Linked DNA regions of Oreochromis niloticus. The protein of the gene in region 4 interacts with the protein of the main gene of each other region in a pairwise test. Links are inferred from orthologs where the notes say so. Each region holds a gene or a part of one and is shown on either strand. Other genes may lie near its edges. The genes, in order: ncoa5, gnmt, rpia and ntaq1.

Region 1 (7,642 bases), on a different chromosome or scaffold from region 4:
TGTTCAGGATTCAGAGTGAGATATATTCTAGTTATAGTTGACGACTGAAATATTTTAGAAGGTTCGTGGTGCAAATTTAAAGTCACACCATCCGAGAAAAATAAGCCCCATTGGGTCTCACAACAGTCCTTTGTGAAATAAATGCAGTCCTCTTCTCTTGAAATAACGCCGTCTTGAAGAAAATCAGATTAGCTGAAATGAAATCACGTTCCTGGGGTCACTCTGAAAATGCCAAAATCTAAAACAGCGCAATTTCCTTAAAAGTCCTTAGGAGAAATGTGCGTATTATGTGCCTTAGATTAGGGCTGCACGATTTTGCATAAAATGAGAATCACGATTTTTTTTGCTTAGAATTGAGATCACGATTCTCTCACGATTTTCTTTTCCAATATAAATATTTATTGCACTTATTAACTGCACATCAACTTCGTAACAGTTGAGACTGAACATAAAAATAATAAATAAACATAAAAACAATAAATGTCTCACATTTTGTCGTTGCCGCAAAATGTTGTACTGCTTGTAATTCCGTCTCCACCGTTGCTCGACACTGCGTGTATAGAGCAGGTAGTGCAACATTTGAAAAAATAGTTGCAGGACGGCACTGTGTAGCGTTTGTCTAGGGTGTTGATCATTTTCCTAAATCCCTCGTTTTGCACAGTGTTGATGGGAGCCATATCTTTAGCCAGGTGATAAGTGATAGCCTCCGTAATTTCTTTGTGCCTGCGGGAGTTCGACGGCTATGGGGAAACGCTGTATACGGTTCCCATTATTGATGTTTGGGTGGTTGACCGGGACGGATTTTCTCCTGTCACTTTCTTGGCCTTTACAGCTTCGTCATCTCTCACGTGCTCTCCATTGTTTTTACCCTGCCAACTGGCTTCTGTTTCACGTGGTATAAGGCTCCGCCCTTGTCATTTATTGAGCAGGAAGAGTGAGCGCTTGTTTTCATGCAGATTATGTCCCGGATCAAAATGCGGTACAATCGTCATCTTTTTCCTTTTTTTTAAAAATCATTGTCATTTGGAAATGAGATCGCACATAAGTATGAATTGAGATCGCGATTTTCTAACGATTAATTGTGCAGCCCTACCTTAGATAACGCAATATAAAATTATTTCAGGACAACAGAACCGCAAGAGGTTTTTCGGTCTCAAGATACATACAGCAGAAAGACCAGAGAGAGTTTCATTGCATTTATACTTGAAGGAATTTACATAAACCTTTCAGGAAGCAGCTCCTTACATACCTTAACTTGAACCTGGATAGCCTGGATTCAGCATCCACTGAATTTAGAAACTAGTGTGTCTGGGGAAAAAAAGAAGAAGATACAAACACTACAATAAGCTTATGAAATTAATCAAATGAAATGCTCTAAAATATAGTCTCAAACAGCCTTTCGGAAAGTTATTGAATAAATTGATTCACAATAACAAGTCTCCACACCAGCCACTTTATTAGTTACACCTTGGTTACACCACAGAACTAGGTTAAATCCCTTTTTGCCTCAATTTCCCATGGAAGAAATTCAAGTTGCTGGAAACATTTCTCCTAGATTTTGGTTCACATTGACATGATAACATCACAGTGTTGCTGTACATTTGTCGGCTGCAGATCCACAATGCAAACCTCATCATTCACCACATTCCAAAGGTGCCCTATTGGACTGAGATCTGGTAATTGTGGAGGCCAAGAGCACAGTGTCAACAGCAACATTGTCATGTTCAAGAAACTAGTTTGAGATGTTCTCAGGTAGGTCCGGGTGGCTAAACAATGTTCAAATGATACCAAAGAACATGTGCCAAGAAAATATCCTGCCAAAAATATCACACCAGCAACACCAGCCTGAACCACTGATAAAGGTTAGGCCAGATTCATACTTTCATGTTAGTTACAGCAAATTCAGAACACCAGACTAATCAAACCAGGCAATGTTTTACTCTATTTCTTGACCAATATTAGTGACCCTGTGTAAACTGTAATCTCAGTTTCCCGTTCTTAGCTGATGGGCATGGCACTTGGTGTAGTCTTCTGTTGCTGTAGCCCATCTGCACCAAGGTTTGAGATTTCGTGCGATCAAAGATGCCCTTTTGTTTACGTTGGTTGTAACAAATAGTTACTTGACTTAATATTGCCTTCGGTTCAAACCGGTTTGGCCACTGTCCTATGATTACCAACAAGTCATTTTAAGTATTAAAAATAAGCTGCTTCTAGGAACAAAGACATATTTTTTTAAGAAACCTCAAAAAAGTCAATTAGCTGTAAGTATTTCACGTGCCTTGATTTAACTGGAGAAAATAAATGAACAAAATTTGAAGCATGTTTGTAAATGAGACATTATAATCTCAATTGGATCGTCTGTATAAATGAAGGTTAAACAAAATAACTGAATAACCAGCAAAGCAAAGTAGCACTGCGAAACTTCAAATGCCAGTCAAGTGTATCACCTCTCACCAAACGCCTTTTTTAGCAACACAAATCCGACCGCGGCTCGTAATGTTGCTTTCGATTCGGACTCTTCGTCAAAGCTTTCCGGCCGCCTCATAAATAACGATTTACACGCTACAGCACCAGCTATGTAATCCAAAAATAGACTCGTTACACTGCTCATAAAACTAAGTCGGTTAACATTAAAAGCAATACTCTCATACACCGCCATTCCGAGAGACGTTTTAATAGCGTGGTTACGGAGTAGCTACATAGAGCTAGCTTAATGTCGGCGGTTAGCTTCTTAACGCTACCTTAACGAGGGACGTTAAAACCAAACAGATAGGTTCACAGTTACGCCTGCAAATGCTTTACGATCCACGGTTCGCTGCAAGCAATGCTATAGCAAGAACGACAGGGCGACTATGTGCTTACCTTCAAAGTCTATTTCGTGTTAATTTTCAGCCACCCACGGACAACCACTATCCGCTCACAATGCTGCGCTTCTTCTTCACTTTAGTTACAGCAACTGGCCCTGATATCTTCTTCTACCCCTTGTGTGGATGTAACTACCATTTCATTTAGCCTATATATCGCCACCTATTGGCTAAACATAAAATACGTGCAGTATGCCCTTCGAATCAATAAAACGAATTTTAGACCTTTAGAGCCTGAACCATTAAAAATAATTACCAGAAAAATATACGGTTTTTTTAAACGGAGTATTTTTTAACCCTCTAACAAATTATATAAAGGAAATTAAATAATAATTTGCATATATGCGTTGTAATTTGTATTGTATTTTCTAAACCAGTCTCTCTTCTTTTGCAATGTTTTGCTTAATTAATAAAAATAATCAGTTCACGCTATTTTGACTCAGTATAGCTTAGCTGCTTCAAATGACTGGAAGGTAGCAAGGTTGCCAGGTTGAGATGTTGTCCCCTCGGTTTGTACGTAAAAATAAACAAAGCATTACAATCCCTGAATTTCGGCATTTTATAATATGTAATGTACTTCATGTTAATTTCCAAAATGTATGAGGATATGCTAATATTATAATTATTGTCTAAATCTACACATTCGTGCTCACGGCAGCGTGAACGTTGTTGTTTTACCGGCTCGGGCAGACGGTTTCCGGGACTGGGCGGTCGTTGTGTTGGGAGGAGTCAGTCCCACATACCTGGCAACATCCACCGTCGCTTTGTTAACGCTTCATTGAGCCAAGATGGCAGATTTCGAAGAGCTCAGCGATGAAGAGAAGGTATTGCTATATTAATAATCCTCACAATAACAACGGTTTAGCTCTAACCTTTGTCGTGAACAATTGCAGACCTCGGAGGGATCTTTAAAGTCGCGTATGAATTTACCAGTAGGGCTATGGTAGGTGTTTGTTGGGTGCTAGCTAAACCTAGGCAGGGCTGTATTTGACAGCTCGGAGCTGAAGCTGTTATGTTCTTATACATAGAGTAACTTAACTAAATTACTCGTTTTAAATAGCAGCCATATTCAGCGTACGGCTAACGTCGATTTCTGATTTTGCTCTTAACTTTGCAGTGGTTGGCAACTGTTAAATCGAAGGAAGTCCAGCTACTTCCTGCATTTACACCAAGGATAATGACAGAGCATCGATAGCAAAACACCACCCACACCCTGTTCACTTTCACGTTTAGCTTCCTCAACCGGTTTTGATAACGTCGGACGTTAAAGCTTGACCCACACAAATGAGTTTGTGGGTATTTTATGCACTGAAGACCCGATACTTATTTTTGGTTTAGAAACGCATAAGGAGGGTAGGTCTTCTGTCTCCCTGCAGTGTTACTGAGCCTTGCAGTGACTGGTGTTGCTGTCTGTATCATGCTGCAACATGTTGTAAAATAGCGCATTGCATTCCTGAAGCTGATATCTGGCCAGGAGCTTAACTATTTAAGTAGTTTCAGTGAATCTTTCGAAATAAGATTAATAGGTTGGTGTGATATCTACACTAAAATAATACATTTTAACTTTTCTGAAGAGTCTGCGTAAATAGTGTGTTCATTTGCGTTTGAAATACACGATGGAGAAGCTGAGTCTGAGCCTGAGAGTGTGCTGTATGCTCTGAATGCCACAATGCCTGCACCACTCTTAAACTGGGTTATTCATTGTAATGTCCTTCTGCCCTTTCAGCAGGACAGCCCAATTGTAGGTCAGCGCCAGCTGCAGCCTGAAGGCTTTAATAATCCTGTCTGCCTGACAGATAGCATCACTGGCAAAATCATACTACAATGTGATAGTGACGTCATGGGTTTAGCAAAGGGATACAGTGAAGGTGGCAAATTCGTGATTTTAAAAAAGGGAACTTGTAACCTCTATAGAGAACAACTTAACTTCAGATTTTACAATGAGCTGCCTGGTATAAATGTACAACTTGCGGTCCTCATTGAGTATTACTTTATGAGAGCATAGTACCTGCCTCAGTCACTTCTTTCTAGGGCTTTGACACCACATGCTTGCACATGCATACTGGGTGGCTGCTAAGAAAAGCCCTTGGATGACATGTACTGCCATCTAAGGAGCGGCTGAAATAGAGCTAACCAGCCTCTGGCCAAGAAAGTTACAGTACAGTACAGTACAGTACCCAGTACTCTCTGCTTCACTCTAGTGGTTATTTGCAGGTTTTAATCTGTTCATATAAATTGCCTACTATATCTGTATCTTTATAAAAATGGATACTGTAGCAAGACTAAATAACACCAAAGTTTCTTAGAGATGAAGTGCAGATTCCCATTGATGATGTGGCACTCTTTCTTATTTTTTTCATGACAACATGTCTTATTTATTTCCAGGTCCGTATCGCAGCTAATTTTGTGATGCATGCTCCTCCAGGAGAGTTCAATGAAGTTTTCAACGGTAAACCCCGGTTACACCTTGTGTACTAACTGCAACCCATGTGCAAAGAAAAATGTGTTTATGGTTGTCTTCCACTACTTGTTGTTCTCAGATGTGCGACTCCTGCTCAACAATGATAATCTCCTCAGAGAGGGTGCAGCTCAGTAAGTTTCCTTCTTTAGCTTCTTTCTTTTCCTTTTCTTTTTTTTTTAAAGGGAACCAATTATTACTCTACTCTCCTCCATTATTTGGAACATGGTCAGTGTTACAAATAATGAGATGACATGCTTATGCAGTCCAAAGCTGAATCTCAGGCTTCAGACTGTAGTAACTGCTGAATTTCAGACATTTTTTGCTACTCGTGGTTCTCCATGATGTCATTAAGATCTGCTATTCTTTACATGGTCAAAAAGGGCCAAGTATCAGATCATGTAGCACTACTCTAGAATCTAAGAATAACAACAATGTTATAGATATGAATGCAGCTTATGGTTATATTGTCTTTTGTTATAGTGCCTTTGCCCAGTACAACATGGATCAGTTCACCCGTGCCAAAATTGATGGATATGAAGAGCCGGCAAGTTTTGGCCTTTTTCTTTTTTTTTAAGCATTCAAATAATTTGCTATTATTATTGAATCTACAATTTAATTTATCTTAGGATACTTGAATGAACTCCCATGGTAACAGCAGGTTTGTCTGTCTGGTCTCCTGCAGGTTCTGATAACAGAGCATGGAGACCTGGGTAATGGCCGTTTCTTTGACCCCCACAACAAGATCTCCTTCAAGTTTGACCACCTGAGGAAGGAGGCCAGCGATCCTCAGCCCCATCAGGGCGAGGCAGCCCTCAGCTCATGGAGAGATGCTTGTGACTCTGCTATTAGGGCATACGTCAAGGAGCACTACCCCAGTGGAGTCTCCACCGTAAGATCACTCCCTCTCTCATTGCACTATGGCTGTCATGTTGAGTTTAAGCATAATAAATCACCCACTCCTGGTTATTTGTTTCAGGTTTATGGGAAAACAATTGATGGCCAGAAGACCATTATCGCTTGTATCGAGGGCCATCAATATGAGCCTAAAAACTTCTGGTAAGTTGAGAAAGGATAATGATCTCTTTCTAAATGTCTTTATCAGATTTTCCCAAAGAATTATGTTGATGTAGTGTATCCGTAATTATGCATTTGGGATCGTCTTTCAAGCATAGCCTTCTGCGTTTTCCTTCACCAGGAACGGTCGCTGCCGGTCTGAGTGGAAGTTCAGTGTCTCACAGCCTACAGCACAGGTTGCCGGAGTCTTGAAAATACAGGTATGTTAAGTTTTTATTTGGTGGAATTTAAGAATAGTCTTGATATTAGTTTTGTTTCAATGTTGTATTTCCTCTCCTTACCACAGGTACATTATTATGAGGATGGAAATGTGCAGCTGGTCAGCCATAAAGATGTACAGAAATCACTGACTGTGTCTGTAAGTGTTGTTCTATGTCTGTGGGCTAAAGTTTAAGAACACGTTGATTTTGTTTGGATCTGTTTAACTCATGTATGTTTATTTTTGGCAGAACGAGAGCCAGACTGCAAAGGAGTTAGTAAAAATTATTGAAGATGCAGAAAATGAGTACCAGGTATGTGGGAATTGCCTCAGTTTGAGAGAAAAAAAATTAATAAAGCCACAGAAGAGCTGTGGCAAGTTGTATAAAATGTACTTCCTACTGGCTAAGATCCTCAACAAGCTGTGCATAGAACAATAGGTGATCTTTAAAAGGGGAAGACTGATCGAAACACACATTTTTTTTATTTATTTTTTTATTTCCTAGTTGGTAAGTGAAGCTGCTAATGGCATTATTTTTGTAAGCACTCTTGGCTGCCAAATGACCACCGCAAGATTTTTAGGTATATACACCATAGTGTTATAAAACAAGTGACTAAAGGTGTTGTTTTAAATAGTCGGAAATCAGAATCATTAATTAAATAATTACATCTATTTTCAGGTGTTGAGTGAACATTGTAAAATAAAATAAAAATAAAACGCATGTTTATTATTAACTGGAACTGACAGCTATTTCAAAGGACTGTATATGCATAACATCACTGTTTAGGCAACTGTTTTCCATCTTTTAAAAAAAGCTTCAAAAGGCACCAGCAGCGCAAACAAACTGTAATTAGTGGAGGTGACGTCTAGCAGACAGCAACGGGCTATAGCTGTCTCTGTCAGCACACCTGTTAGTCAAAGCATTCAAGCTCTGTAACTTTAAACGTTAACAGTGTTTAATTTATTGACTGAGATATAGAAAGAAGTTCACCCACAACACAGTTGGTATGACATGCGAGAGTCTCTGTAGAGACCAGAACCTTT
Region 2 (7,470 bases), on a different chromosome or scaffold from region 4:
TCCAACTATTAGCTCCAGTCATATTTGCTTTCTCAGAAGCCTGACCAGCAGGCTGAGCCTATAGTCATTAATCATGCTTTAATTTGTGTGTTTTTAGTCAGAAAGGATTGTAGGTTAGATGAACAACTGGCCAGATGTATAGATGAACGTAAAGAATTCCAAATGTTTCACGTCTCATTTTTCCTTTTGGAAAACAAGAAAAGTGAGAACTACATTTGGATATATGAAACATTTTAACAGCTATCATTTTAGGAGGTTTACACCTTTATTTTATTACATAATTTCCGAGCTTATATGAAGGAAAACCAATGTGCTCTTGTTCTTGTTACTACTACTACTACTACATCATCATCATCATCATCATCATCTTTATTTCAGATATATACAACAAACCAATACACACACACACACACACTTGCATTTACATGTACAAATACGAATATATATGTACATACACACACGTTCTCAGACAAAAACAAAAGTTAAAATAAAATGAACAGATTCTAAATTACACGAAATGACAACCGTTAAGTCTGAAATGGAGTAGGAAGAAGTATGTTACATACTTATTCATCCCTACCCCACGCTCACTCTACTGAATCACCATATTCAGTGTTACCCCAACTTCCCCTCATCACTTATCCCACACAATAAGGAATGAAGGACAAGTATAAAGATAGCTACACTGATAGCTATAATTCAGATACAATTTGGCATAGTTATACATACACACTATCAGTCATCAACTTTATCAGTTTTGTATTCTTCCAAAAGCAGTTTTCGAAACATCTTTATGAACTGATTAATGCTTGAACATATAATATAGCAGTATATAAAATGGTACAGAGTATTCAAAAAGTAATCAAACAATTTTTACACTCCTTAACATACTTGTGTACTTCACGTACAGCATATGTATAAATATGTTCATGCTGACCTTTTTCTATAATCATTCATATTTGTACATTTAACTCCTTGCAAATGAGTTTTAAAGATATGACATGTGTATACTTTTATTTCAGGTCTTTTTTTGAGGTAATTTTATGGTCAGTTATGTGTCATGTTCAAGTGTGAGTTCATTCATATTTGCTCTTATAGCACCATCTACTGTCCTCAAGAACAAAGTGCTGAAAAAAGTATGGGAAGGCAGTCAGAACTGAGTCAAATTGTAATTTGGGAAATTACAGTTTGTTCCAACAGAAACAGAATTACTTAAGCTGTATCTTCTAATCACATAGCATTAGTAACAACTGTTTTAAAATATAAAATATCTCTAATATTAATTATTATTTTTGTTGTTATGGCCTTGAGACACTGTACACCTACATTTTTTAAAATGTATTTTTCTTAAGCAACATGTAATGAAACGTGCTGTATAAATAAAGAGACATGGACATCGTTGTAGGTGTATTGATCAATAAATTATCGGACTTGTGTTTTTCTTTCAATTTTATTTAGCAAAAAATTATTTGTCCCATTTTTTTCATCTGTTCGCGCTCACTGGCCACTTTAAGTACACTTGTTGAGCTACTCGTCACTAACAATGTCTGATCAGTCAATCAGAATTGAGCAACTCATTGCACCTAGGCATGTATACATGGTCAAGACAACCTGCTGAAGTTCAAACTGAGCATCAGTAAAGAGAAGGAAGGTTGTTTACGTGGCTCTGAAAGTGACACGGTTGTTGGTGCCAGACGAGCTGGTGTGAGTATTTCAGAAACTGCTGATCTGCTGGGATTTTAGAACACAACCATATCCAGAGTTTACAGATGATATATATGTGAAAAAATGAAAATATCCAGCGAGCGGCAGTTTACTGGCTAAAAATCCTTTGTTGATGTCAGAGCTCTAAGGGAAATTTCCAGGTCGCTTCAACAACCCATCAGCCGGTCTCCGGACTCTGTTTCTGCTGCAACATTTGTTTGCACATTTGCCTGAATACTGTTGACCATGTCCATCTCTTTATGAGCACAGTGTACCCCACTTCTGATGGCTCCTTCCAGTAGGATAACACCACATACCAAAAACTTTTAATCATCTCACTAGTTTCTCGAACATGACTTGTGTTCGCTGTACTCAAATGGCATCCACATTCACCAGATCTCAGTCAAACAGAGCACCTTTGGGATGTGGTGGAATAAAAGATTCACATGATGTGCAGCCGACAAACTGGCAGTAACTGTGTCAATCTTAAATTTGATTTGATTGATAGGAGGTGATTTCCAGCAAAGTTTGGCTCTGCGCTGGAAGTGGTGTCAATCACGGTCCTACTGAAAACAACACGTTGAAATGTAACCGTTTTCCCTTTCATCTGTTCCGCCATCTGACTAATCTCTGAACTTCACAGCACTCACTTCCTGTTTCAAGTTGTAACAAGAGCATTGACGCAATACTTCAGAAGGGATACAATGATTAATTTAACGCATACATTCAACAAACTGTATTAGAGTCTCTCTCTCATATATCTCTCACACACACACACACACACACACACACACCTGTGTGTACTCAGACTGGAACTTTGATCATCACTTATCTTTTCAGTGACTGTGTATACGGGCAGGTGACAAATTAAAGCAAAAACTAAACCACTGTTTGCTCATTCTGTTAAGCTTTGGGGTGCAATTTCTGGCCATGATTTAGGTCCATTTATTCTTTTAGAAGCAAAGATTATACAAAATGCTACAAGGTTGCTCTTAGGCTACGTTCACACTGCAATTCCGATTTTTTGATCAAATCCGATTTTTTTGTCTGCTTGTTCACACTACAAATAAAATGCGACAGCAAACGCGCTCTAGTGTGAACGCTCAAAGCGGCCCGCATGAGCAAAAGAAGATGTCACACACAACGCGCTCTGTTTAGACCCAGAGCAAACATTATTGTTTGACTGATGGCCCTTAATATTAAGCCTAAGGATACGTACACACTGCAGGCGAAAGCGCATCAAATCCGATTTTTTTTTTTTTTTTTTTTTTTTTTTTTTTTTTTTACCCTATGCGACCCATATCCGATCATGGTATGACAGTGTGAACGGCACAAATCCGATATTTTCAAATCCGATCTGGGTCACTTTCGTATGTGGTACTGAATCCGATACATATCTGATGTTTTAGAAGGCGACTGCTGTTTGAACGGTCATGTCGCATTAAATCCGTCTTTTACGTCACTGACACAAGACAGACACCAATTATCAGCGCCGGAGAAGCGCCCGAGAAGACATCGCGAACGCTTCCTGGCCATCCAGTGTAGATGTCAGTGAAACTGTTGGGAAGACAACGTGAACATTTTATTTGTACTGTATAATCTGCAGATTCTGACAGAAATCTGCAGCTATCCTTTGAAGCACCGCTCCTCTAAAACAGCAATAACGATAATTATTAGGTTATTTACATTATTATGTAAATAACAAAATAACTTAAAGCAAAAATTGGGAAACGTAAAGTCCGAAGTCTTTATATTAAGGGCCATCAGTCAAACAATATTGTTTAATCTGCTGTCGCATTTTATTTGTAGTGTGAACAAGCAGACAAAAAAAATCCGATTTGATCAAAAAAATCGGAATTGAGCATTAAGACCTGCAGTGTGAACGTAGCCTTAGTGATTTACTTTATGATCAACCATGACAATGCCCACATGCAAATGTCATGACGTGTCAGCGAGGATAAAAATGATCTGAATCATGTCCTGTGTCCTTCGCAGTGAGTCATTTTGTTCTCCACCACCATCATCAAAACAACCACAGGAAGGAATGTCTTTTTGGCAGACTAGACCAAAGGTGCATTAATGTGTGACTTCCTCTAGGCAGTGCTGTGCGTTCTTGCCAACTCCTGCTTAGGCTGAATTACATAACTATGCCTGTGTTCGAAGTCAGATCTGGATTTTTGAAAGTAGTAAGTGTGTATGTGTGCGTGAACAACCCATAAGGTAGTAGTGCAGTTCTGAAAAAACTGGAAGTTGCAAACCTTACCTAGCTCGCACTGGTTGTAGCTGACATGACCTCACCTCTACCAGTAAATATGGGTCCTACAGAACTAAATCCGCCAATCACAGCAGGAGGAGTTCACTTTGTTTGGAAGGGCACGAAAAGTGCCTAAGAGAGTCCTGAGATGATTTTATTCCATCTTTTTTTTTTTTTTTTTTTTTTTTAAATCACATTGTTCACCTACATTACACCCTGTGCACTTAACTACTGCAGCACTGTGCATTTCATTGTTAAAAAATGAAATTATTAGGATTTTAATTTTGCAAAAACCTCTTACTATGCATGTTTCGCAAGCAATGCGTCCAAACAGCATGATCAAACGATAGATGATGAAATGTTAAAGGGGGCGAGTCCTCTGTGCCACTGTTGGTGGGATTATATTCCCTGAGTAAAACCTTACAGGTAATGGGCTTCGTGAGCTCTACTTTATTTTAACATTATACTTAAATAAATACTTCTCCTCCAACGTCAAACATAACTTAATTTTAACTTTAATATGCACGTGTTGAGGTATTTAATTTAATTTTGATGGAATACAGTGTGGAACTTATCCTGGAAGGTAAGCTCAAGGGGAAAAATTGGCAACCTAGCAAAGCTTCACTCGAGTGACGTATTCCAATGCTAAACAGAAAAGGGGCGGGCTCCCCTTAGGTTATCCAATCAGAAAGTAGGCGGCGGTGCTCGACGGCGTGTCATTGGGTTAAAGTTTCTGTCTTAGGTTGTTCATATAAATAATAACATCTCGGCTAGCATGTGGCAAGCATACCTGTCAGAGAGGTAGCGTGTTTCCTCACCCAGTTAAAATAGTCCAAACTTGTTTGTCCGCTCAAACAGACACTCAGGTAGAGGTACAGGTACGGGCAGCAGTATGTCGGTCGACAGCGTGTTTAGGACCCGGTCTCTCGGTGTGGCAGCCGAAGGTCTTCCTGATCAATACGCCGATGGCAAAGCAGCGAAAGTGTGGCAGCTGTACATCGGAGACACGAAGAGCAGGACGCAGGAGTACAGGAGCTGGGTGGTGTCCCTGCTGAAGCAGCACGGGGTGCGGAGTGTGCTGGATGTAGCCTGCGGAACAGGGTAATGTCAGGTCAAATTAGCAGTCTTATTAGCACGTCTGACAGGGGCTTCAGCTCTGCTTCATCAAAATCCACTTAAAAATCGTTCGACTTAGTGTGTATCTATAAATATAATCAAATATAAAAAACATAAGCCAAAACGTTATGAAATTTCCATAACAAAATCTTAAATACGGCTTTATCCAAGTATCCCGAGCACGCTTTTGTTAATGGTTAAACTTTGATTTAAACTGCATATGCCAAACAAAAACCTGAGCTCACAATGATTCAGCAGGTGAACAGCTGCTGATGACGCCATAAATCGTGCCGATTCAGACTACATTATTGCTTTTCAAATATGTGAGAAGGTGTGACTCTTGTGTGATTCACAGTGATTGTGCAGCTTCAGAACAGAGTTGTGTAGGAGTAGCTGATAGTGATGATGGTGTTTGCTTCTTTGCTGTACTTGATAGATATGTGGGTAAAAACAAAGTGATTTCAGCTCACATAGGCCTTTTTGTACGTGTACCCAACTTTATAGCCGTTCAAGTGAGTTTGACTTTTGTGGAATTTCAACTCACTGACCCTTTTTAACTCGGGACAAAATCCGGATTAAGCCACAGAATAATGAATGAAAGTGCAGAGTTGCACCTGATCCTGAGCCACGTCCTGCCTCCTGCACTGGTCTGGTGTAGACACAGCGGGTTTACACATGCTGGTTAAATGTGATTCAGTTACAGAGGTGTAATATGTCTGTGACACAAGCTTGAAGCAGCAAGTGTTGTCCATTTAAATTTCCTGTTTCTAAAGCAAACTAAACACAAGCGAACCGTAAACTTGCACTTAGTAGGTCAGTGGGTGATGAACTAGTGCTGGGTAGCTGAAAGGAGTTTTGTCTGGTTTCCTGCAGTCTTTTTTATCTCCCTTGATACTCTGACTTTGCTCTCACACAGCAGCAAGGCCATTGCCCAAGCACAGACAAGCAGACCATATACGTCACCTCAGCTGTTGTTTTTCTCATGGAGAATTTTCACTGGAGATGCATTCTAACCATTTTATTGTTTGATGTTTATCATAAATGTACCTTTTTTTTCTTTGCTCATCACTTAGCACTCATTTCACCTGCTAATCAACATTACAGAGCTTATAATGTTCATGTCAGAACTGCAGTCATCTCCATAATAACTCAGCTCCACATCTCAGGCCACATGGTTGTCTTCCTACGGTGTGGAGCACCCCAGCACATTGATTCTGACCCCATTCCCTAGTAGTGGTGCGCCTCAGTAGTGCAGCAGCCTCAAAGTAAACATATTCCTCGTGGATCACGGTTACAAATAGCTATTTTTGGCAGCCAGAGTGCGTTTGTGGTGCTTTCTAATTCTGAGAAGAAGCTGCAGGCTGTGGATCGTCATCACCTTCACCTGAACCTGTGAGAGTTTTTTAATTTAGGATTCCATAGGTTGAGGCAGGAAGTCTTATGTATAACTGCAGAATGGATAGGCATACAGACAAATTAAAGGGAAACCATGAATCCCTGACTCATACCTTAAGGATTATGCTGGATCTGTTAAGTTGAGGCCTTCACAGTCACCAGACTCACAGTTGAACCAAATAAAAGGGCCATCTTTTAGAGGAAATGGTGTTGATCCCTCTTGTAGAGGCATCGAGTCCTTTGAGATTTGATGCCAAGATGAAAACTAAAAGATGTGAATTTGCTTTTAGCCTAAGACTTTGTTTAATCCAAAACTGGAAAACTGGCTGTTCTTTTTACATAAGCTTTGTTTTGCTGTTATCTATTATCTTGCAGTTACCCGGTAGATGTTAATGATTTCTGCATTATTGTCCATTGAATCCCTCCCCTGTTGCACTGAAACACGTCTGTATTGTTTATTATTAACTCATAAATAGCAGAGAAAACATTTTTGAAAGTCAGTCAGTAGCATCTATTCAGGCTGTGGTTTGGCCCGCGATCACGTTTTCCTGTCAGGTTTTCAAAACAGTAGTAGCTTCTCGCTACCATACAAATCATCTCTCCTTACCTGTGACAAGGTTACAATTCCTGTCTGTAGTGTGACGATAAGCTTATCAACCTACTACTAAACCACATGTAGTGCGGTCGCAGCAAACACACACTCGCACTCAGACTTGATCAAACTGTTTTTTCAGGGGAAGATGACAGCAGGGATTACCCTCAAAATCTAAACACACCTACTGCACCAAATCATGATCCTCACAGGTCGGTTGTTGTTTTTAAACGTATTCATGGATTTTGTTTTCCAGGATTGACTCCATTATGTTGGTGGAGGAGGGGTTTAATTTGGTGAGTGTGGATGCCAGCGACAAAATGCTCAAGTATGCACTGAAGGCGAGATGGGACAGGAGAAAAGAACCAGCTTTTGACCAGTGGGGTATGAAAATTAAAAAAATATATAT
Region 3 (7,009 bases), on a different chromosome or scaffold from region 4:
AACGATTAATAACACCTCAACAGATGTCTGAATTCTACAATATTTTAATAAATAGTAGAATTACATGGTTCCTGAGGTCAAAGTCACCAGGATTTAAACTTGTCCCAAGATTTTTTGGGTAAGAATTTGAAAGTCTTACATCTCCTCATTCAAGTTAAATTTGCAAACGTGGGTTTCCATATCACTCACCCGCCTGGCAGGGTGGCCAGACCCCATCACCCTAAAAAGCCCAAGTGTGCACCTTTAATTATACCCAGATAGTCAAGATCTTCATATTAATAATGTTTTATGTCCTGTACATCCTAAAGGTCAGGTCAGGTTTATATGGTGGATGTTTGGAATCATGCACAGGTTAAGTCCTGTGTGGTTCATTTTTTCTGTTGTAACAAAGTAATTTGATCAACCCTGGTAAAAATAAAGTACACTACTGAGCTACCCCCTTTCATTCCCTTATATTTTGCTGGGAAAATGGAAACATACAACATTCAAAACAGCCTTAACTCTTAGGCAAGATAGGCCACGTTTAAAAGCTCAATGGTTATCACTTGGATGGTACAAACATCATCACAGATTCAGCGAAAGAATTTAAAATACATCTTTTGCCAAGTTGCCTGTTATGTGTAGAGAACTCTGGTTCATCTCATAAATATATAAAATATGAATTGCTAAAGTTTGACCATTTTGCTATTACAGTCTTTACATGTGCTTGGAAACAAGCAACAACTCCAGTGCACACATGGAAACCTGTGTTCTGCTACTTCAATACGTAACACTACACCTCTGAATGACCACACTTTCTCTAACATCTGACATTTAGGTTCACCGATACACACCTGTAATCGGCAATTACAACAAAATGTTTAGCACAGCCGGCTACAATCTTCTCCTGAGTCAGGCAGCCACTGGGAAAGAAGAAGAAAAAGATGAATGACAGAAATCAGGAAAGACGCTGCTTGCAATCAGACATCTGTACTGTACTCACCCTCCACCTTTTATCAGCGTGAGGTCTTCGTCCACTTCATCTGCTCCATCAATTGCCACATCCAGCTGCAAAAGCAAAGGCGGCGATTTTTTATGCAAGCAGACCACTGAGCACAGATACCGGTATATACAAAAGAAACTCCTGAACCATTCCCTAAATGTAGGAAATGCTTTAGTCAGCTCTCCCAATCATGTTTTATTTATTTGGTTGGGTTTTGCCCCTTTTTTATTGATAGTAAGCAGAGATAGACAGGAAATCAGGGCTTTCAGATTGATTTCCAATGAGCTCATCATACCTCGGGGTGCCTGTCCAGATCTGACAGAGTGAGGCCATGCTGCAGAATCAGCTGACGAGCCTGTGGGACAAAAAAAACCCCAAAAACAGCAGAACAAAAGCGCAGAGGAAAGAAAAAACACACAGTTTTAAGTAAGGGGAAATGATGTTTCAAAGTCATATTGCTCCACACTGTTGTGAAATATGCAAACCAACCTGGAAGGAGGTGGGAACACAAACAATATTGAGTTTCTCCTGACGCACTCTCTCAGCTAGAAGAGGGAGGGATAAAACACAAGGGCCATTAGTGCTTTATTTGATGAATTCTGATAAAGACCCAAATGGTGCTGCATTTAGGAATTTGCTTGTGTTGTTAAGACAGAAAAAAAACTCTGCTCTGTGTCACAACTGGAGCAGAGCTTCAAATCTTCCTGTAGAGATGGTGTATTATCTTGTGTCGTACAGTCAAAGGTTATGTTTCCCTCACCTAATCTATCCACAGCGTAGACGATAGTTGACCCGCTGCCCACACCAACAACCTGATTATTCTAGAAAAACAAAAATAAAGTTAAACAAATGTAGTGAGGCTAAATATCCTGAGCATGTGAGGAGAAAAACAAACAACACCAAAAGATGTGTAAGAGTTTAATTTACTGCAGTCATAATAATAATGATCATATCATGAATCTACTTTGTTAGGAATGCTGAGTGTTTATTTCCTGTATTGGCATACTAAAAATGACTAAAACACAAGATACCAAGATTTTAGGTTTCAGCAGGTAGAAAGCTCTCTCCTGTCTCATCTAAGCCTCTCCCACTAGAACAGCCTGGACACGTGCATGTGCTTCAGACCTGCTGGTTTTGGCTCTTCTGTTCAAGTCTTTTATTCAACCCAACGTGCAGACAGCTCACTTCTTAAGCAGACTTGTTTGCTCTATATTGCTCAACAGCGTTTTGCTTCATGAGATTGATTTTCTAAACCCTGAACACAGAGGCGAGGGGAGGTGCAGGAGTGTAAATGCACAACAGTAAAAGGTTAATATGGAACCCCCCATATCATCATTAGTTTGGCCCAAATGGATACCGTCGAGACTTTAATGTGACATTTGGTGAGCGGTCATGATGCGGTTAGTTCATGTAGAAATGTACACATGGGGCAGTCACGTAGCCTTTACAGTTCTGAGACTTATGCCGTGTTAAATCAGCAGTGTACGGCTCTGTCAAATACAGCTACCGCTTAGCTAGCGACTTACTGTATGTTGTAACATGCACTGCTTAATGCTAAGCAAAGTTAGCTAGCTATCACAGCTAATTCGCTTCCAAACCGTGCAAGTTAGATAACGGTAACAAATCACTAAGCTGGTTTGTAGCTGTATATTTAGCCAACTTTGCTAAACACGCAGATAAGACTATATACTACTGTTTCAAATCCTGTTTATAGTAAGCGACAAACTAGCAGAGAGTGAACGGTAACAGAGCCTGCTGTACCTGAATGTGGTTATCCACGGCGGCGTAAGCAGCTAGCTTCTTCGCCTCCTCTGCCATGTTAGCTGCAGACTGACTGAACAGACACACGTGCTTATAGTTATTGGGAACCACCAGCCTCCGGGATGCTACACACACAAATCCAGCTGCGTGCTTCTTGAAGGAGACCCACCCCTGAAATGTCATGACCCGGCCCACAAGACACGGAGACAGACAGATCCGCCGCGGACAGCTTTCCCCTCAAAAAAAATAGATCTGCAGTGTAAGTCATAAACCCCGCCTCCTCCATGTTAGTGGATAAAATAAAAATTTGTCCTCGAATTTTTGTTTCCCAAAGATTCTTTCTTTAATTATCATCATTTATATTCAAGGGGTCTCCTTTGCTATAAGTTTGATTCTAATTACTGCAGCATTAATATTTGTTTTTCAGTACTCAGGCAGCAGCTTTAACATTGCTGTATGTTGGTGACCACAATGCAGGAGCAGACTGAACCAGGACTGCAAACCTGCTCCATCTTCTCGTCTCTGGAGATTTCCATTTACAAAGCACCAACAACTCAAAGGTAAATATTATATTGGAAAATCTGTTTATATATGTTGTTTATATAGTATGTATGGCATATAAGGCTTTGTCCTTTTTTAAATAAACAGCTCATATGTCAGCAGAAGTTTTCCATTTTTCCATTAATAGAAAAATGATCAACATTATTCATTTCCTGAAAACTGATAGTGAGCAGTTATTCATTTAACAGTATTTATTTGTAAGAAACAATATTTTTATTATATACAAGGACCAATGGATATTAATTTAAAAATCACAGTAGATGTTCATTTAAAAGACAATCCAATGACAATCAGAAAATAAAAAGAGACAGAAATACAAGTTAAAATTTAGAATTTGTTTTATTGATTTGGAAAATTTTCTCAAATTGCTCATCAATTTGATTTAAATAGGGCCCAATAACAAAAGCTGATTGAAAGTGCTTTATATTATAAAGACCCTACAATGCAAGAGAGAAAACCCCAACAATCTTATGATCCCCTATGAGCAAGCACTTGGCAACAGTGGGCAGGAAAAACCCCCCTTTAATGGGAGGAAACCTGCGGCAGAACCAGGCTCAGGCGGGCGGCCATCTGCCGAGACCGGTTGGGGGATTTGAATCCAGTTATAATCAAATTTCTCTCTTGCTACGACATTTTTGATGTTATGTATTTCGGTATTCATCTGCAAGGAAAAAGATGACTGTTTTTCCTTCAAGATGAATACTAAGTTGATGTTAAAAACCACCACTTCAAGTTGTGCGTCTAAATGGCTTGGTGATGGCTTTGGTCAACGCAGTGAAAAACCTGACAATGGCATTTGGCTTCTTTTTTGTGTCTGACAGATGTTCAGTCAAGCATTGTGTAATGATTTTTACAGCTGTGGATTTCTGTAACTCCAGAGCAACCTGAACAGTTTCGACACTCCCAAAGAAATTGCGCAAGTCTTTAAGAATGTACTTTTCCAGATTTTTTAGGTTTTGTGGAGTTATAGTAAGTTTTTTATCCCTGAGTTCGCCCCATACTTCTTCCAAAAGCCAGGTGTGGATCTTCTGTGTGCCTACACAAGTGCACTTCATCTTTAATTTTTTAGCTATGCGGTTAAATAATTTATGAAGGACTATTTTAATGTAAGCTTTGTGTACAGGATCATCTAGTACAAACGGCTCAGGTTTTGGTTGGGACGTTACAACTGGAATACTTTCCATTGTCTGTGGTTGTGTCTGTGTTTCTGTCTGTGGTTGTGTCTGTGTTTCTGTCTGTGGTTGTGTCTGTGTTTCTGTCTGTGGTTGTGTCTGTGTTTCTGTCTGTGTTTCTGTCTGTGTTTCTGTCTGTGGTTGTGTCTGTGTTTCTGTCTGTGTTTCTGTCTGTGGTTGTGTCTGTGGTTCTGTCTGTGGTTGTGTCTGTGTTTCTGTCTGTGTTTCTGTCTGTGGTTGTGTCTGTGGTTGTGTCTGTGTTTCTGTCTGTGTTTCTGTCTGTGTTTCTGTCTGTGTTTCTGTCTGTGGTTGTGTCTGTGTTTCTGTCTGTGGTTGTGTCTGTGGTTCTGTCTGTGGTTGTGTCTGTGGTTGTGTCTGTGTTTCTGTCTGTGGTTCTTGAGTCCCAAGTATTGCAAGCATTACACTCTGACTATGGCTCTCAGCTTGGGTGCATAACCACCATCTCATGAGTGCCAAGAAAACTTTCACTTGTAGGTTTACATGTGCTGTTCTGAAACAATCAGGTAAAGTTTCAGGTCCCATGTCCCCTACAGCATATTTATTTAGCATGTCTGTGAGGGCCTGGGTGAACTCCAGAGATTTGCCGATCGAAATTTGTTTAAATAGTTCAAACTCATTTGAATTACGATCTTTTACAGTCTGAAGCAGCAAGTCGACATCATTAACAAGCTCCTCCACCGATTCACTGCTTTCAACTTTCTCCTTTCTCTGGAATTTAGCCCTGGTGTTTTTGGCAATGCGAAGAATTGTCGCTTTTGCAAATTGCTTCGTAAAGAATGTTTTGAGCTTACCTGCGTTGTTTTGTAGCGACTGCTTACATTTCTCTGCAAATGATGCGGGAGTGGTAACTTCACCACGCTCTAGAGAACATTGAATCTTTGCCTCAACTAAGAATGTGAGCTGTCTTGCAATTTCCTCAATCTCTTCAGTTGTTTGTGGTTGCTCCTTGTTATAATGAGGAGACATAATTTTTTTCCAATTTTGCATAAAACTATCAGCAGCATTTTTGATGTGAAATTTCACAGTTTCTAGAAATTCACTATCTAAGCTGTCCTGGGGGCCTATCGTGGGTGTTTTATATCCTTGATCCAGATATTCTTTTGGAACACTTGGACTATCTAACATTTTAGTGTCCTCATCTGAATCACTGGAGCTACTGGAGCTACTGGTATCAGTGCTCGTGCTGAAATAATTCATCTTGGAGATGAAAGCTCTAATCATTCTCCCAGCAAAATGGATCATTTTGTTCAGCCGTTTTGGAGGAAGGATGTGCTCACGTTCTCCAAAACTTGTTTTGCTGTCAGAAGACTGTGCAGATATAATACTTAGCACAACCTCCTTAGCAAGCAGATGTTGGAAGTTTTCAGTACTTTCCTTGTCGGCCTGAGGAACCGTTTCCAAAGCTTCAGCAAAAGCCTGCGGAACTATGGTACTCATTTTGCTCAAAACACCATCTTCTGATATTTCAGTGTTGGCATTCTGAGTCATCATTTCAAAGTGTTTCACACCTATTTCAGTTATCCCTACAATGAGCTCTCCTAGAAGACTCTTAGTGGCAATGTCCAAGTCTCCTGATCTAATGGTATGCCACTGCACAGCCGTCAAATTTTCAAAAAAAGATTTGATCAGAGGATAAAGACGTGCTGCTGTGATTTCCTCAATGTCCTCAGTATTTAAGTATTTGTCTTCCATTTTTTATAAATTTTGTGGGATGAGTTAAATGATAATTTGGTATGTTTTGAGTTGAACGCGTCTGAAATGCACCTTCCACTGTGAAAGCATGTAAAAAGTAAGCAGGACTGTTGTATTTAAGGGGTTTGGAGCTGGCGACGTCAAAGGAAAGTTCAAAGGTTCAAAGGCAAGCCCATGACGTCACCGGAAATTACTGTTCCATCGGCCCCGCCCCCAGCGACTGCTCCTCCGGATTTGTTGTTGACATCGCCAAAAATGTTCCAAGCGACAGAAAAGCGGATTATTTGAAAGTTTTTCAGTTCAACTAACTAATTAACTTTACCTGCGGGGCGCGCGACAACGGTGAGAGCAGCCAATGCGTCAGCCTTCAGTCTGCTGCTGAAAAACTCGTTTTAACGGCGTTAGTAACGGAGGCTTCCTCAGCACCTCCTCCTTTTAAACGCCTTTCAGCGTTTTCATTACATGAAAGTAGATCATGTTAAACCTAAAATGTCCTTGTATAGTGTCAAGTCACGCTGTTAAAAAAATTGGATAACTTTAGGATCAGCTTTGAAGTTATCTGGATAAGTCAAAAATCCTGTTTCATAGGCCTCTATACTGTGAAGAAAGGCTTTAAGCTTATGTGGGTAACTTCAGGGTTGACCCTGGGTTTTACTTTAAATCATTGTACATTTTCTATACACACGAAGAAACACTGATATTTCTATATGATTCTTTAATGTCATTTCACTGTATTCACGGAGAGAACTTTGTACCCACACTGAGGCTACTACTGGCTACCCTCACATAATCAGTTTTTTCACCAAATACATCGTCTAGG
Region 4 (7,948 bases):
CATTAGTGACGTTTAGCGTGTTTGGAGGCTATAGTTAGTTTGTTGTATAGTTATTGTTTTGTATTGTGTGTCGGTTAGACTGCTGAATTTCATATTTGATCTAAAAAAGCTGTCAAAGGCAGATTCCAGTGTAAACGCTGTCTCCACATAGAAAACTGGACTGTTGCACCTCCAGTTGTCAGACCTGCAGGGTTTAGGCCTGTGGTGTTCTCCTCTGTCTTATACTGAACACAAACTACATTTTTTGGACTGGCACAAATAATTTGTGTGCCTTCTTATTTGATGCAGCACACCTGATTGTTCTGTAAATAGATTTAAATGGTTATATAAAAAACGCCTGAGGCCTTGGCTGCATTTTTAGGTAAATAGTACCATATAACTTTGTTGTTTGCAAAACTTGTGCATAATTTTTAGAAATGTACAATTTCTATTTGCATTTCAAGTTATGAAAATGATTCGTTAAACATGTAAAAAAATATAACTTTTTTCTACTCGGATTCTGAATTTTTTGTCTGAATTTAGATCAACTGTGCTAATATAGTATACCAAAATGAAAAAAATAACTCAAATTTCAGATATTTGAGGTTGTGCTGTAAATAATGATACCAAACAAGGCAAGAAAAACATATTTTAAAAGTGAAATATAGAAGTAAAATCAAAAGTAGTCAAGAACGGCCAATTATACCCGGGACCCCAGAGGGTTAAAAAAAAAAGACTTGAAAGGACTTGAAATTCAAAGTTTCGGACTTGGGACTTGACTTGAAAGTTGTCTGTCTTGACTTGCGACTTGACTCTGACTTGCTTGACTTTACTTGAGACTTGACTTGTGACTTGAGGATAAAGACTTGGGACTTACTTGAGACTTGCAAAACAATGACTTGGTCCCACCTCTGGTTGTATGGGCTCAAAATGTGGTCATAAATATTTTGTACTTGTAAATCAGTTTTGTACTTGTAAATCAGGATTTGTATGTGTAAAAAGAATTTGTGCGTGCATAAAAAAGATTTGTATGTGTAAAAAAGATTTGTGTGTGGACTTAGCCAAAACCCCCCCTGCAAGTTACAAGTATGAATTTGGACCCTATTTTTCTTCCTGTCATCTGATTGGTCAATGTCATGTCAATCACAAATGTAACAATCCAATCAGAGAACAGATGGGTTTGGCTGTCGGAGGGGCACTTTTTTGAACTGCAGGTCCTTGAAGGGAATAAATGCCCTTTTATATGCCAACCCAGCGTTTTCCTTCATCACCACGAAGGAAAACAGTCTGTGGTCGTCCGAGTTTGGTGATTTTTGTGTCACAGGTCTACGTGCTTAATACAGGGACTTCCACAGCCTTTTCAACAGCGCTGCGGACCGGGGGGGGGGGGGGGGGGGGGGGGCAGTGTTTTGGAAATGACAGTCTTCATTACAAAGCTTTCTTCGTTATGAATTAGCATACATGTTTTTATTGAACATTTGAAGAACTAGCAAAAAAACCAGAAACTGTGGTAGAGGACATAAAGTCAGAGATAGAAACGACAAGGAGCAGGTGCATCTAGTACAGGTAGAGCTGCTGCAAAAACCCACAGAGCTCAGCAGCCAGCGCAACAAATTCTGGATCCTTTGCTTTTAGTTAGCAGTTAGCATTAGCAGCACATCCTGCGTCCGATGTGAAAGGACCTTTATGCTGCGCACTGTGACTCACAGCAATGGTCCCGGGTCAGCCCTGACTTTGTGTTAAACTAATCCTAAAGTAATAATGGTATTTCTAACCACTGACATACCACAACTTTATCCTTTCAACAGCTGCTGAAAGTAAGGGGACCTAGCTGCTATCGGATATTTATATAGAGATCCTCCAGCTTCAAACTGTATTACCCTTCAAGGACCTGCAGTTCAAAAAAGTGCCCCTCCGACAGCCAAACCCATCTGTTCTCTGATTGGATTGTTACATTTGTGATTGGCATGACATTGACCAATCAGATGACAGGAAGAAAAATAGGGTCAAAATTCGTACTTGTAACTTGCAGGGGGTTTTTTGGCTGAGTCCACACACAAATCTTTTTTACACATACAAATCTTTTTTACGCACGCACAAATTCTTTTTACACATACAAATCTTTTTTACACATACAAATCTTTTTTACGCACGCACAAATTCTTTTTACACATACAAATCTTTTTTACACACACACAAATCTTTTTTACACATACAAATCTTTTTTACGCACGCACAAATTCTTTTTACACATACAAATCCTGATTTACAAGTACAAAACTGATTTACAAGTACAAAATATTTATGACCACATTTTGAGCCCATACAGTTGACGCGACACAAAGTAAACTGCACGCTTGAAATCTGTGTAATAAAATGTATGAGGGGAATGATAACGAAGACAAGATTTTCCAGATCGTTGACTCTTGCTGTCTAGTGAACAGCATTGTGACGTTTGTCTTGTATTATGTTCATATGGACATAAAGTCAGAGAGATACATGTTTTGAAAAGACTAGGAGCAGGCGCATCTAGTACACGTAGGGCGGCCGCAATAAAGGACGTACCAGCAGAGCGCAGAGGCCAGCCAGCGCAACACGTAGGTCCTTCCCTCTAGTTAGCGGTGAGCGGAGCGCAAGCCGCGTCCGCTGTCTGGGAGGATTATTCCTTACAATGATATTGTGATTTTTATTCTTATACTGACAAATTTTTTAAAAAAAAAACAAAAAAAAACTGCGCTAAAAGGAAAACGGAAATCTGAACTGGCCAATCATAGTGGTTGCAGCTCCTTTGACAAGGCGTGTGTTTATAATTCTCAGGAGCCAAGTAACGTCAGGTAATGTTCTGACACAGAGCCTGCACGGTCACCTCTGGGAGGTATGTCGGGACTCACCAGTAGCAGCTCGTGTACACGCAGTCCTCGCGCATCGGAACGAGTCTCCGATTCATGATCGGGTGTTACACTGAAAGAGCTCCAAGGGAAACGGACTGACACCAAATCCGCTAAGGAAAGTGGACTTTCAAATTAAAAGCATCGACAAACTGGGGTCCAACTGCTAATTTAACTTCGCTGCCGCCACAAGAAATGAGCTTCAGTGCTCCCTTAGTTACCTCCTTTATTTGTGACGCTGAAGCATCCTTCATGAAAGGAGAACATCGTTTATAGCAAAGTACCATAAGAGAAACAAACTGACCTCTGAACCTGTTAGCTAGCTTAGATTTTCAGAGAATAACTAAACTTTAGCAGTATACAGTCTCCCATCACTCAACTCCTTCTGCTCAGCACCATAAATCATCAGAAAATAATTGAAATACAAACTCAAAAATGTATTTTTGTAATAAAACATTTCGGCTTTTTTTTTTTTTTGAAGACTTGTCAAATCTCTAAGGAATTTTTATTTTTGTAAACATCTGCACTGCAAATTTCACAAGTTTTATTAGATTTGAGATAAAATACTTAATTTATACATTTAACTGAACAAATCTGTTCATGTCAAATTGATTATACGGTTAACTAAAAATTATATGAATGAAATTTTTTCACTGAAATATAAATAAAACCCAGACAGATCTGGATCATCACTCCAGAAACTAATTTAAAACAAACTAACGAGCAAATCGAAAACCAGAATAACTGGTGAAATGGGCGGGCTTGACAGGGGGTCCAGGCTCCTCAGCTAACTCTGTAAAGATGGCTGCCATGATATCTGAACTTAACATCTTAGACCTGATCGATCACCCACAAACAGCCAATTAGGCATGTTTTTATTCATCTTTAATGGCCCTAGACAGGAAAGGGATGTCACACTGCTGATCAATGTCAGCTCCTTTCACCAGACTGACAGCAGACACACACACACTCAAAAACAGTTCAGTTTATTCAAAAAGGAACTGACATCACAGCAAGGAAAACAGTGAGGCAAGAACATTGTGTCTGAAAGTAAAAACATTAGGAAAACGGCATCTGTGGTTGCTAAGCACGTTGCTATGTGAAGAGGCGGATAGTAGCATCGGCGCCAGAGGAGAAGACCCAGGGTTGCGTGGGGTGAAAGGTCACATCCAGAACACCGAGATCATGAGTCATCACATGACCTCTGAGGACTTTCACTGGGACGATGAGTGGATTCTGCAACAGGTCACTGTGGGGGTAGCAAGGAGGGTGGGGTTAGAGTGCAACTGAGAGGAGGAAAAATAAGTGCGCGTGTGTGTGTGTGTGTGTGTGTGTGTGTGTTTTACTTGTAAACAGTCCCATGACAGACGATCACTGAGCCATCATCGGACGCCGAGGCAAACAGCGGGTACAGTCTGTGATAGGCCACACCCCTCACTGCTTTCTTATGGTGTCTGTAGAAAGAAGGTGATCCATATCACATGATAAATGATTAAAAAAAAAACCAAAAAAAACCCCACATCTGATCAATATGTAGTATTCTACAATCAATGATACACCAATATCAGTGCCCTGATTGAGTAAACACACTTCCACATACAACATACATCCTCACCTTCCTGGTGCAGGTCTGACTGAAATCTTATATTTCCTAAACTCCTGCACCTGCTAGGCTGTGAAGGCACTGCAGATCTTTTTTTTTTTTTTCTTCTTCTTTCTTTCTTTCTTTCTTTCTTTCTTTCATTTAAACAATGCTGCTTTATGTACAATTCAGCTCTGGCTATGCAAAATTCTGTTGGCAGCAATGTATAAAATGTGAAAAATACAAGCTGAACACAAGAGGGAGCATTATAAAATAAAGAGCTATAATCATTTTAAAACCGGGATACCATACAAATAAACTACATGGCAGTTCAGAATAGAGAGTAATTCACACTTTTCTTAGGTTTAAAGGTAACCCAGACACCTCAGAAAATATGTGGATTTTGTTGATGACAAGAGGGATTTGTTCTGACCTTTTGAGGAAAACTGTAGTATCATCTGCCAGCTGAGTGCTTAGGTCTATACATGTGACATTGTGATTTTCATATAGTGAAACGTTCTTTAAAACAAACTGAGGTTGCATGAAAACACTCTGTAGGTTAGTGCAGGATAGACAGGTTAAACAGTGCACTGTCAGTGTGAAGGATGGCAATTACCCAGGACAACTCAAACTCACAAAACACTTGTTAAATTCAGGTGTGTAAAGAGCAGTAAACCTCAGGGCAGCAGCAGTAGCCCAGATCAGCTGATCACAGCCTGTGGACTAAGAAAATGTACTGGAGCTTTCAACAGAAATGATTGTGAACTGTGATTGTTTTCCTCACACTGAACTACTGCAACAAGCCTTTAACCACCCACCTCACCAATGTGAGCTATGGTCTGAGTAACCCCCATCACTCAGGCCACTCACACATGGACTCTATTCAGTCTTTTTCTTTGCACTACTTTGAAGCACTTTTCAAGTTGTTCTCTAACTTGGGCATTTCTATGTGCCTCCCACTTTAATCTCTTCCTTACTCATTTTCTGTTTAGAGACAAAGTCACATTCTACAATGTAGACAACAGAAAATAGAGCCATTTTCCCCTTCTTGTTCCTCTGCTTATGTTCTACTTAACTGATTCAAGCTGAGCGCATTTATTATCATCGAGACTAACATGAAATTTGTATTCTCATCTACTGCATTAATATAGCAGAAGGTTTATTTAGCTTTGCAGAAAAATAGGTGGTAGAAATGTTCTTTAAGGAGATAGTTTTCAGAGCCTGTACTTTTTCTGTTGTACTTGAATAAAGAAGTTGAATCAGTACTTTTACAGGAGTATTTTTTTTTTAAATACTAGTACCTGTACTTCTACTAAAGTACAGAATGTCTGTACTTTTGCCACCTCTGCCCAACCAAACCCAAATCAGCCTCCTCCAACAGGCTCTTCAGCCACAATCTCTCCAAATCTGTAATTAATCTTATAAATATTCACTTGTTAACTCTAACCCACCGGTGCTTTACCTGTACTCAGCATTGATGCAGCTGTCTGTGAATCTACTTAATCTATAACTTCTGACTAAGTCTAGTCTAGCTGTGTTAGATACTCACTCTAACAACACCACCATCTGTAAGGCAATGCGTAAAGCTGCAATATTTGTAACCGTGAGAGTTACTAAGTAGTAATAATAATAATAATAATAATAATAATAATAATAATAATGGATTGGATTTATATAGCGCTTTTCAAGGCACCCAAAGCGCTTTACAATGCCATTATTCATTCACTCTCACATTCATACACTGGTGGAGGCAAGCTACAGTTGTAGCCACAGCTGCCCTGGGGCAGACTGTCAGAAGCGAGGCTGCCATATCAGCCACCATGTGAAGAAACCTTGACATCCGTCCTGGAGATCAGGTCTGAACGAAGACAGGAGCACTCAAGGTCACCTGCAGCTGACAGCTCATGTCTGAAAGGGTTAAACTCAGATGATCAGAGCGACTGGCAGGTACGCACCGGAGCATCTTGTAGGGTTTAGTTGACAGATCAAGGTCGAACCAGCTCAGCTTGCAGTCATAACTCCCACAGATCACATGATCACCTGCAGACACACGAACAGACAGTTGGGACAGCTGTGAAGAGAATACTGCGCGTATAAATACAAATGACTTTAGGATGAAGCAGCTGCGGTGAGCTAAACGACCATTGTGGCGGGTTTATTGGAGCCTTTAAGACTTGTGTGTGGGGGACTGGGGATATGGTTACCTCCCGGATGGACAGCCATGCTGGAGATCCACTTGGAGTTGGCTTGGAGTTTTTTGGTCATTTCTTGTTTGACGAGGTTGTAGATGCGGATCGAGCGCTGTGTGGCCACAAAGAAATAGGGCCTGATTGGGTGGAAGGATACGCACTGGACCAGGCCTTTGTTCCTGCTGAAGGGGTTCTGACTCCGCCTCCGGCTCAGCTGGTGGATATACACCTGCAGGTGGCTCGTGTTATCTGGCATCACTGATGCTAGATAGTCTCCTTTAGCATGCCACACCACCTGGTGAACAGCCTGCAGAGATCAGCAGCGATTAGGCCAGGTGTGGATCAGAGTGGGGGGTTTAAACAAACAAACAAACAAACAAACAAACAAAATCAGGTGGTTTTCTCACTTTGGGGTGTTGGATTTTGAGGCGGACCCCCTGGTTTAGCTCTTCCCCCTCAGCCTCGCTCCAGACAACAGACCCATTTCCTTCTGCTGGCTCCTCCCCCTCCTGTTGGGCGCTGAGGAGTCGTTCTGACGACAAGATGACCTGTTTATCTGCCAGAGAGGGAGACAGGATCAAGACCACAGAGTCCCTGAAACCAGAGAGACACAGAGGGACAGGATTCACATCAGAGGGAGAGGAGGGATGAGTTTAAAATCCTGCTTGTGGTTTCTAGAGTATTTAAAAGTATAATGGAAGGCAGAGCCTTAAGCTTTCAGGTCTCTCTTCTGTGGAACCAGCTCCCAGTTTGGATTCAGGAGAGAGAATGCTCTCTACTTTTAACATTAGGCTTAAAAGTTTTCTTCTTGATAAAGCATATAGTTAGGTCTGTACCAGGTGACCCTGAATCCTTCCTTAGTTACGCTGCAATCGTTTTCATAAAGTTGGATGTCCACAACAAAAAAACAACAGCAACAGCAAAAAAAAACAAAAAACACTACCCCAGTTTAAACCATCATTAGAAATCACTGAATTAAATTATTAATACATGCTCTCTTCCTCATATGACATCTTTATCCCCATCATGCTCCAGGGGTTATGTGATTGATGGGATATTTTCTGTATTACACTAGGACAGGGGTGGGCAACTCCAGGCCTCGAGGGCCGGCGTCCTGCAGGTTTTAGATGTGTCCTTGATCCAAGACAGTTGATTCAAATGCCTAAATTGTTCAGAGGCTTGAGAACGAACTAATCATGTGATTCAGGTGTGTTGACAGACGGAGAAACAGAGAGAGACAGAAAGACAGAGATGATAAGATATAAAAGAGACAGAGCGATGTCAGAGAGGTGCTCACAGGGCAACAGCCA

The links.
Region 1: the proteins of ntaq1 (region 4) and ncoa5 interact in a two-hybrid assay, tested with the Homo sapiens proteins (3 studies listed by BioGRID and IntAct). The two-hybrid records come from large-scale screens. The link is inferred for Oreochromis niloticus from reciprocal best matches to the Homo sapiens genes NTAQ1 and NCOA5.
Region 2: the proteins of ntaq1 (region 4) and gnmt interact in binary tests that used the Homo sapiens proteins (3 or more experiments, as listed by UniProt). The two-hybrid records come from large-scale screens. The link is inferred for Oreochromis niloticus from reciprocal best matches to the Homo sapiens genes NTAQ1 and GNMT.
Region 3: the proteins of ntaq1 (region 4) and rpia interact in binary tests that used the Homo sapiens proteins (3 or more experiments, as listed by UniProt). The two-hybrid records come from large-scale screens. The link is inferred for Oreochromis niloticus from reciprocal best matches to the Homo sapiens genes NTAQ1 and RPIA.

The regions. Positions count from the first base shown.
Region 1 is NC_031970.2:8,753,717-8,761,358, forward strand, and holds the start of ncoa5 (nuclear receptor coactivator 5), read right to left. Parts: upstream 3,016-7,642; 5' UTR 2,863-3,015; intron 1,309-2,862; 5' UTR 1,250-1,308; intron 1-1,249. Other genes in the region: capza1a (F-actin-capping protein subunit alpha-1), read left to right, coding at 3,653-3,688, 5,250-5,313, 5,405-5,456, 5,806-5,869, 6,008-6,214, 6,302-6,381, 6,521-6,599, 6,686-6,757 and 1 more. UniProt on the Homo sapiens protein: Nuclear receptor coregulator that can have both coactivator and corepressor functions.
Region 2 is NC_031983.2:26,632,553-26,640,022, forward strand, and holds the start of gnmt (glycine N-methyltransferase), read left to right. Parts: upstream 1-4,466; 5' UTR 4,467-4,850; coding exon 4,851-5,059; intron 5,060-7,317; coding exon 7,318-7,445; intron 7,446-7,470. UniProt on the Homo sapiens protein: Catalyzes the methylation of glycine by using S-adenosylmethionine (AdoMet) to form N-methylglycine (sarcosine) with the concomitant production of S-adenosylhomocysteine (AdoHcy), a reaction regulated by the binding of 5-methyltetrahydrofolate.
Region 3 is NC_031983.2:7,547,059-7,554,067, reverse strand, and holds the start of rpia (ribose-5-phosphate isomerase), read right to left. Parts: upstream 3,023-7,009; 5' UTR 2,927-3,022; coding exon 2,744-2,926; intron 1,804-2,743; coding exon 1,743-1,803; intron 1,528-1,742; coding exon 1,472-1,527; intron 1,338-1,471; coding exon 1,278-1,337; intron 1,048-1,277; coding exon 983-1,047; intron 903-982; coding exon 834-902; intron 1-833. UniProt on the Homo sapiens protein: Catalyzes the reversible conversion of ribose-5-phosphate to ribulose 5-phosphate and participates in the first step of the non-oxidative branch of the pentose phosphate pathway.
Region 4 is NC_031985.2:36,120,650-36,128,597, forward strand, and holds the start of ntaq1 (protein N-terminal glutamine amidohydrolase), read right to left. Parts: upstream 3,021-7,948; 5' UTR 2,927-3,020; coding exon 2,871-2,926; intron 1-2,870. Other genes in the region: ribosome biogenesis protein bop1, read right to left, coding at 3,963-4,116, 4,214-4,321, 6,405-6,489, 6,654-6,945, 7,046-7,232, 7,936-7,948. UniProt on the Homo sapiens protein: Mediates the side-chain deamidation of N-terminal glutamine residues to glutamate, an important step in N-end rule pathway of protein degradation.